Linked DNA regions of Coturnix japonica. The protein of the gene in region 1 binds, or shares a complex with, the protein of each later gene. Links are inferred from orthologs where the notes say so. Each region holds a gene or a part of one and is shown on either strand. Other genes may lie near its edges. The genes, in order: LATS1 and WWC1.

The links.
Region 2: the proteins of LATS1 (region 1) and WWC1 are in contact, whole or in part, in a crystal structure (PDB 6J68), measured with the Mus musculus proteins. The link is inferred for Coturnix japonica from reciprocal best matches to the Homo sapiens genes LATS1 and WWC1. Residues at the interface, in NP_034820.1 of Mus musculus: Ala546, Glu547, Ala548, Pro549, Ser550, Tyr551, Gly553, Pro554, Pro555, Pro556, Pro557, Tyr558, Leu562, Leu563; in NP_740749.1 of Mus musculus: Asp17, Tyr23, Ile25, Asp26, His27, Arg30, Thr31, Thr32, Ser33, Trp34, Asp64, Val67, Tyr70, Ile72, Asp73, His74, Lys77, Thr78, Thr79, Gln80, Ile81.

Annotation. Positions count from the first base shown.
Region 1 is NC_029518.1:43,382,443-43,386,250, reverse strand, and holds part of LATS1 (serine/threonine-protein kinase LATS1), read left to right. Parts: coding exon 1-137; intron 138-2,985; coding exon 2,986-3,136; intron 3,137-3,808. UniProt on the Homo sapiens protein: Negative regulator of YAP1 in the Hippo signaling pathway that plays a pivotal role in organ size control and tumor suppression by restricting proliferation and promoting apoptosis.
Region 2 is NC_029528.1:7,344,171-7,348,483, reverse strand, and holds the start of WWC1 (protein KIBRA), read left to right. Parts: upstream 1-1,336; 5' UTR 1,337-1,418; coding exon 1,419-1,537; intron 1,538-4,313. UniProt on the Homo sapiens protein: Regulator of the Hippo signaling pathway, also known as the Salvador-Warts-Hippo (SWH) pathway.

The DNA.
Region 1 (3,808 bases):
TAACATATCATAAAGTTTTGCAAGAGATAAGAAACTCGCTGCTGCCCTTTGCAAATGAAACTACTTCAGCTGTCAAAGGAACGTCAGAAGTTAATCGACAAATGCTGCAAGACTTACAAGCTGCTGGCTTTGATGAGGTGAAGTATTTAATGTTCAGGCTTTAGTGTTCTAAAAACTGTCAGAGTGTGTTGGATGAGGTGTTGGTCATGGAATGTTTAAACAGCATATGATGGGCAAAATAGCTTTGAAATCTGGCAGAGTTCTAATTAGAACTTAATGAAGCTGGGATGAAGAAGGGGAACAGATTTAAAGAGGCATTTTTCATTTTTTTGCACCATTTTCAGTGTGTTCTTACATGGTAGGGGTTGTTTTAATTCTGTAAATCGTTTTAGAGAGAGGTGGACACTTCAGAACATGGATTTTGCCTTTGATACTCAACAGGATTTTAAATTGTGCACAACTAAAATACGCTGATAGTATGGCCATCCTAAAGTGATAGGCAATAGCACGTATTTCAGGAACAAATTTTAATGGCCTTCTCACATCTGTTATTAGAAAGCCAGTGAGGGAAAAATGTTCTGTGATGCTTTGGTATTCACAGGGAGGTTAGGTTAAGGGGAGCGAATATCTCCAAAGCTACGGACAACATTTCTCTGTAGTTAATCAGCACTTGAAAGGGATACTGGAAGAATTTCATGCAAAAAGTTGTCTGTTGACATAAATAGCCTCTGCATCAGTACCGTACACTAGGCACGCTCCCAAAACATCTAAAGTATTCACAGACAAAGTCTGATTTGGAATGAGGTTGGTGATTTCCATTCGGTCTTTGGTTGGATCGTTGCTTAGCCAGGCACTTACTACAGACTGGTTAATGGTGCTGTGGGAAAGATAGGCAGTACTTCTTCCTCCTAAAAGAAAATAGGGAAGACAGGCAGATCAGTTTATAAAGAAGGGGAACATTTCTCCACTGTTTACAATTAGAAGTTACAAACAATCAAGCAGTCCTTATGAGTGTGAAATGTAACTATTAAGTCAGTATCGTATCATCAACTAAAATCCCACACAACACGAAGGGATCTGGTTTCATTCAGGAACAGTTCTCCAGCCGTGACTTTGAAGTTTACAAGAAGGTAAATTCATAATTCTACTATCATGGCCTCAAGTTGCGCCAGGGCAAGTTTAGGTTGGATATTAGGAAGAACTTCTTTACAGAAAGGGTGGTTAGGTACTGGAATAGGCTCCCCAGAGAGGTGGTTGAATCGCCATCCCTGGATGTGTTTAAGAGCCGTTTGGATGTGGTACTCGGGGATATGATTTAGTGGAAGGTTTTTAGAGTTAGGGTACTGGTTAGGCTGCGGTTGGACTTGATGATCTTTTCCAACCTGGGTAATTCTGTCAATTGGCATTTCCTCAGTAATGTCCCAGAATCAGGTGCTGCTTGTGGAAAAAAATGCACTTTCCTCCGGCTTGCCCAAATGCAAAGATTAAGCTGGATTTGCAGTAAGAATGGAAGGGTTTTATAATGACAAATGATTTTATAATGATTTGTTCCTTATCTGTGGTTTGCTGCTGGAGTGGTTTTGGTTTTTACAATAGATTAGCTCTCGTATCCATTTTTACAGAATGGGTCTCCAGTCAGTTTCACAAGCTGTGGGATGGTTTGTGGCTGGATAGTAAACTAGAAAACCATCTCAAGTTGGTATTTCTGTTGGAGCCTTTGTGTCTTGAAGCCTTTTGCTCTCCAACCTTTTGTTCTTGGATGCAATCAAGTTGAAATGTTGCAGGTGTAAGTGTCTCATGAAGAAGCTGTGAGATCAAATGTTGTAACTTCTTGATCTAGCAATGTACACCTGATCTGTAAGCATCAGGGCTATCTTGTTTTATATATATATATGTGTGTGTGTGTGTGTATGTATACTTTTCTGTTTTGTTCATTTTGTTATCATTTCTGAAGGCTGCGTATTTTGTACATTTGCAGTGCCAAAAACATACAGATGTAATGGAAGTATAAATGTGGGTTTGAATTTGAAATTGATACTGACCTCCTCCCTTCTGAGCCCTCCTCCCTTCCGAGCCCTTTTGGATTTCCCATTGATTTCACTGGCAGATGAATCATAGAATGGCTTGGCCTGGGAGGGGACCATAAAGATCATCCAGTTCCAGCCCTCCTGCCATATACTGCTGTAATTTGGTGACTTGTTCGAAAATAATGTGAACTGAAATGATGGCTTTGGTATGACAAAGTATGGCCATAACAGATCACTGGAAGGCAGAGCGGTTAATTAAAGGGAGTCACTCTGTATATTTTTTTCACATTCTAAGTCAACTGCAAAATACCATTCAATAAAAATGGGAGAGGAGTGCCTGACTGTTTCGATCGCCTGTTTCTTGACCTCAGTCTCATTCAAGTCCAGAGAAACACCGCGGATCTATGATGCATTTTCCATTGACAAACCTGGGATTGCTCATCTGATCAAAGCTTTTCTTTGGATCTCTTGAGGACGCAGCAAATCCCCACCACAAAAGTAACAGGATTTCTGATGATACTGTGATATTTACTAGTGAAAAATACTTGAGGAGAAGCTAAAGGATATTTGTTGATATTCCAGGTTGAAGAAAAATGAGCAAATGCCAAAATACTGAAACACATCTGAATATCTTTTATAGAATAAATTAAGTTAGGTGGGAGCTCTAGCTGTTATCTGAGTAATGCATATAGCAAATAAATACCTAGACAGACAAACTATAAGAATAGCATGGTGACACAGTTAATATCAGAATATAGTTGTTTTTTCAGAAGATGCAGGCTGTTAATTTCTTTGGAGGATCTGTTGTGGAGAAAACATTGTCATCTTATATTTAAGATGATCGAGAGAAGTCATTATGTACTTTTGTAAAATTACTGGAGGATATTTGGCTAAATTCTTGTGATTTTTATTATTCTTGCCATTTTGAGTAACTTTTTGTATTTAATTTTCCCTGTAGGATATGGTTATACAAGCCCTCAGACAAACTAACAACCGTAGTATAGAAGCAGCCATCGAATTTATTAGTAAAATGAGCTACCAGGATCCTCGTCGGGAGCAGATGGTTGCAGCTGCAGCAAGACCTGTAAATGCAGGTATGAAACCACCAGGTAGGTGCATCTGTGGCACTTCAACTCATTAACTGTGTTCTTACTGGTGAAAAATACAAAATAGCAAATTAGAACCTAGCACTCTCTGTCGTGTGCTCAGAGTAGAAGAGAGGAGGTGCTGAGATACAGGATTTTGCTTTGAAGATTATTTGTGAAGTGTATAATAGAATTCTTCTGAAACATGAGTGTCTTTGGTGTGAATTTAAGACTTGTTTTTAAAATATCTGATTGCTTTTAGCATTTTGTCTAAGTATTAGAAGCATGGAATCACCAAGGTTGGAAAAGATCTCCAAGATCATCCAGTCCACCCATCACCAATATTTCCTTCTAACCTGTGTCCCTCAGTACAATGCCTAAACAATATCCTTGTATATCCTTTTGCAAGGCCAGGTTGGACGGGGCCCTGGGCAATCTGGGCAATCTGATCTAGTAAATGTGTGTGTTTGGTGGCCCTGCCAGGCAGGGGGGTTGGAACTACATGATCCCTGAGGTCCCTTCCAACCCGGGTCATTCTGTGATTCTGTGTATTATATCCGAGGAATGATACTCAGATCTCAGTCATTTTTACCCCTAGTTGTTGTGATACTTGTATTTTTTTCTGTCATGTGCCATTTAGGAATCAGTGAACTTTTGTTGACTTAAAGTTGAATGCTCAACTTTATTCAACAGTCG
Region 2 (4,313 bases), on another chromosome or scaffold:
GGAAGCACTCGGAAGGACAAGGCTCACTACCCAGCTCCTCTGTGTTAATACGTGCATCATTGGGGTACTCTTAAACAACATTTGGAACTGGTTCAGTGATGCAGTTGATGCTTGGAGACCATTTATCCCAATCTGTAGTGTCCTGACTTCCGCTGACATTTGTTCAGGGCTGAAGTCAGGCTTCTGCTGCAGAGCTTGAGGCAAGGACTGAGAAAGCAATGCTGAAGTGGTGAAAACACCACGGGAGAGAGTTGTGTGCCAGCTTCTGGAGAGAGGCAGGAGAACACAGCCAACGTATGACCCCTCAGCTGGTAGGGTTTACAGTGGAAGTGGCAGTTCAGTCATCAGGAGGTGGCAGATAGCAAACCATTACACTGCCTGTGCTGTTACAGCAGCTCAGCAGCTTCGCTATTGGAGAAACTATATGTACAGGCATTTTATATCCTCAGACGATGGCTCCTGGCAGGTTCCAGCCTAATTTTATTATTGAGCATGGAAATCTGCTGCAGCCCAGCTCTCTGTGCTGTTGCAATCAGGCACACACACTGTGCTTGGTTAAGAGAAGAAATCATAGAACTGAAATCAGAATGTCAAGAAACATCGCCTAATGCTATAAAGCAGTACATCACATAAACCAGGCCTTCCCACCAGTCAAAAATTCCTATCAGAAGTAGAAAGAAGTCTCCCTCTTGCTTCTGTGAGCTGTGAGGTGCCGCCCCCACCTTAACGCGTTCGGTGATACTTCGGACCGGACCCCGCGCGGCCGCAGCCCGTGGGCGGCGATCGGGGCGCGCAGCTGTGGGGCTGTACGTCCGTGCCAGGCCCCGGCACGCCGTGATTGCGCGACTGACGGACAGCGCGGGGCGACCCGTCGTGCTGTGCCGGGTGGACCGAGAAAGACGACACGGGGCGCTCCCTCAGGTCAGTGGAAGCACGGCCGAGCCGATTTGTGCCATGTAAAAGTGACGTTCAGAACATGGCGGGCCGCCCCCCGCCCCGCGGACACGCCCCCGTCCCGGCTCCGCTGAACCTCCGCCCCTCCAGCAGGGGGCGCTGCCCGCAACACCGGGGCGAGGCGGGGCGGTGCCGCGGGGCGGTGCTCCCGCTCGGGGGCGGCCCGAGGCGGCGTGGCCGGGAGGGGCCGGTCCCGGTCCCGGCGCTGCTCGTTCCGTCGGCTGTCCCGCCCCGCCCCGCCCCGCCGGGTCCCGCCCCCCCTCCCGGCCCCGCCCCCGCCGCGGGTCCGGCATGTGAGCAGCCGCCGCCGCCGCCCGGGGCGCTTCTCTGCGCGGCTGGGCCGTTGCGGCCCCGCTCCGCAGCGCTCCGCTCCTCGCCGCCCGCCCGGCCCGGCCCCGTCCCGGGCTCGGCCCCCGCCGCGGTGCGGGGCGCTGCATGGGGCGGCGCGGCCGGAGCTGGAGACGATGCCGCGGAAGGAGCTGCCGCTGCCCGCGGGCTGGGAGGAGGCGAGGGACTACGACGGGAAAGTCTTTTACATCGACCACAACACCAAGCAGACCAGCTGGATCGACCCCCGGGACAGGTGGGCGATGTTGGGGCGGGGTCGGGCTCGGCGCTCTGTCCGACGTGCGGCCCCGCTGCGGGGCTCGGCGCCCGGCCCGGCCTCTTTGCGCCGTTCCGCCTTGGGCCGGGCCCGCCCTCACCTGCGCCGTGTCCGTCCTCCTTCGGCCCCAGAGCGGCCGGACCCGCGGCGTGTCCCTCCGGGCTGCGCTGCCGTGAGCGGCTGCCGCACGGAGCCCGTTTGCAGGGCGCGGGTCGGGCGGTGCCGCGGTGCTCTGAGTTCAGTTCCGCGCGGGTCGCCGCCTCCCGGGACGCTCGGTTGTGCTCTGTGTGTTCCCCGTGGGTTCTTTCCCGGTGTTGTTCACTTTGAAGAACGCGGGGATCGAAGCGAACCGCCCCGCGCTCGGCCGCGTCCCGACGGCTCTTTGTCCCTCGCCGTGCCGAGCAGGCGCGGGTTGTTGGGCGCTGCGGGGTCCTGGTAACCCCACGATTTCCGCCTCAGGTGCTGCACAGCGCGGCTCCGTGTCGGGAATCCCTGGCTCACAACTCACACATCGGCCCGGACGAGCTGCATTCCCAAGCACTGAACGTGGTGTGCTCTGGGTGCACCTTACAGGCTTACCCCCAACCCCCGTCGTTAAGTATTCCCGCAGCCCACTGGTTTCCCCCCTGCTCAGTCCCTGCTCTCTGAGGGGCTCCCGTTGGGGATCCCACGTGTGATGCGGCGCTGTGCCTTATCCCAGTGCTGCGTAGCTCAGCTTGTGTTGCAAGGCAGCGAGTTGTGCGGTTTTACAGGGTTTTAAGGAGTGTTCTGCATTCCAGCAGTAATCCTCGTGTATCCCGGTGACAAACGTGTAACCTGTTGGACTGCTGAACGTTTGGAGCACGCTTTGAAATGATGTTTCAGTGAAGCAATTTGAAGAGTCGAGGGAGAGTGTTTGTGCCATGGTGTGGCTTTTAACCTTGATAAAATTTGTTATAAGCTTAAATTGGAGATACTTTCTCGGCATCTTTATTTTTGGTGAAGATAAGTGAGAGCTGTTAGGACTGATAGTAGTTAATAGCTGTTCTGATGTGTCTGTGGTTGTGAGTCAGAGGCAGAAGCAGCTGAAGATGCCTTATCCACGCAGAGCTGAGTGCTCAGTGCTGTTAGAGGAGAGCATTCACCACCGACAGGCCCTATCACATGACGTGTTTGTTGTGCACATAGCAATGCACCTGAATACACATGGCCCCGACGAGCTTTGCTTCTGAGTCACCTTCCAGCAGCAAACCAGGAACTCATTACAGGCTGTTAGGCGCTGCTCCTGCCTCAGAACACCAATGTGGTTGGAACCTGTCACCTGGGGGACCACGTGTTTGAATGAGTTTGAGACATGGGCTGCTGTACTTGCAAGAAAAAGTTTCCTTTTCAGCTGATGACAGACAGCTCCGTGTGGACAACAGGTGATGGGAGTTTCTGAGCAGCTCAGACTGTCCCTGCGGTGGTAGGGTTGGCTTTAGGTGCTGTGCATCTGATGGTGTGTGTTCTGTGTTTCTCTGCCTGCAAGTTGTGTGTGAAGTAGCTGCAGCTGAGAGGTGCTGCAGTGCTCCCTGTGCTCTGCTTATGTGTGCTGTCTTTGATCCAGGAGGAAGCAGTAGATACTGGGAAGCATGGCTGTAAAACTGCAGACTTCAGGGAAGCGGGGCAGGGTTTATGTTTGAAGGCTCGTTCTGAACCCCATTGCCTCTCTATGGTGAGATCTCGGTGTGACTGTGCCCTCAGAATGGTCAGTTTATTCAGTGAGCAACAGCTGGTGGCTAAGGAAAGGGCATGCAGGTTTTAAACCTCCATAAGTCTTTCATTCTAGCTTAATTTAGTGGAAAAAGCCATGAGCAGGGATACCATGTAGCTTCAGGGCACAGGCTTGCCCATTGTTTGTGCGATAGCAGCTGGTGACAGGTTTGCACTTGGGTTGGCACTGTGATCGCTGCAGGTTTGCCTGCTCTCCTGTAGCTCGCTGCACCCATTCTTCAGATGGGCTGTTGGTTAGAAGGGCCATTGCACTTCAAGTGGGGCAAAGTCACAGCAGTCCTGGGTGAGTCACTGTCCTGTGTGATGCTCAGACAGCTTGGCCAGGGCCGCTGTGTGCCTCCTGCCTTGCATCACATAGGGCTGTTCCAGGTGAGGAGTCCTGGGGAGCGTGTGGATTTTAGAGCGTTTAGGGAAATCATCCAGAGATGAATCATGGGAGGGAGTTGGTAATGTAACCATTGCTGTACCTGTGCTACAGTGTAACCGAGGGTTTGGGTATCCTGTAGGCAGGGTTTCCTGTTAAGAAGCTGTGAGGCACTTCTGGTGGCCAGATGGAAAAAAAAAAAAAAAAAATCTTGTGTTCTCTATATAAAACAATGCAGAAATAACTGACTTTTTTTCTAGTCACAAATTTGTCCTGAGTTAGGTAATTCAGGACTTGGAGGCAGTGTGGTGGGTGACCCAGCCTTACTGAGCGGGGAGAAAAGTCAGTTTGTTATTCCTATTGTAGAAGCAAGCATGATTTTCCAGGCATCCACCAGCATGTGGTAAAGCATATTGGAGTGCTGTCCCAGCTGCTTCCTTCACGCAGGGATGCACCTGCTCTGTAAGCTGCTGTGCTGGATGGCAGATCAGAGTAAGAGCCTGTCTCAGAAATATCAGCCCTGGCTGCTGTCTGACTTACAGTGATGTTTAAGAGCTGGAATTGCACCAACTCAGTACCGCAAATGAGGCTTGTGCTTCCATCAGACATGGGTGTTGGGGACGGGTATCTGGATACCGG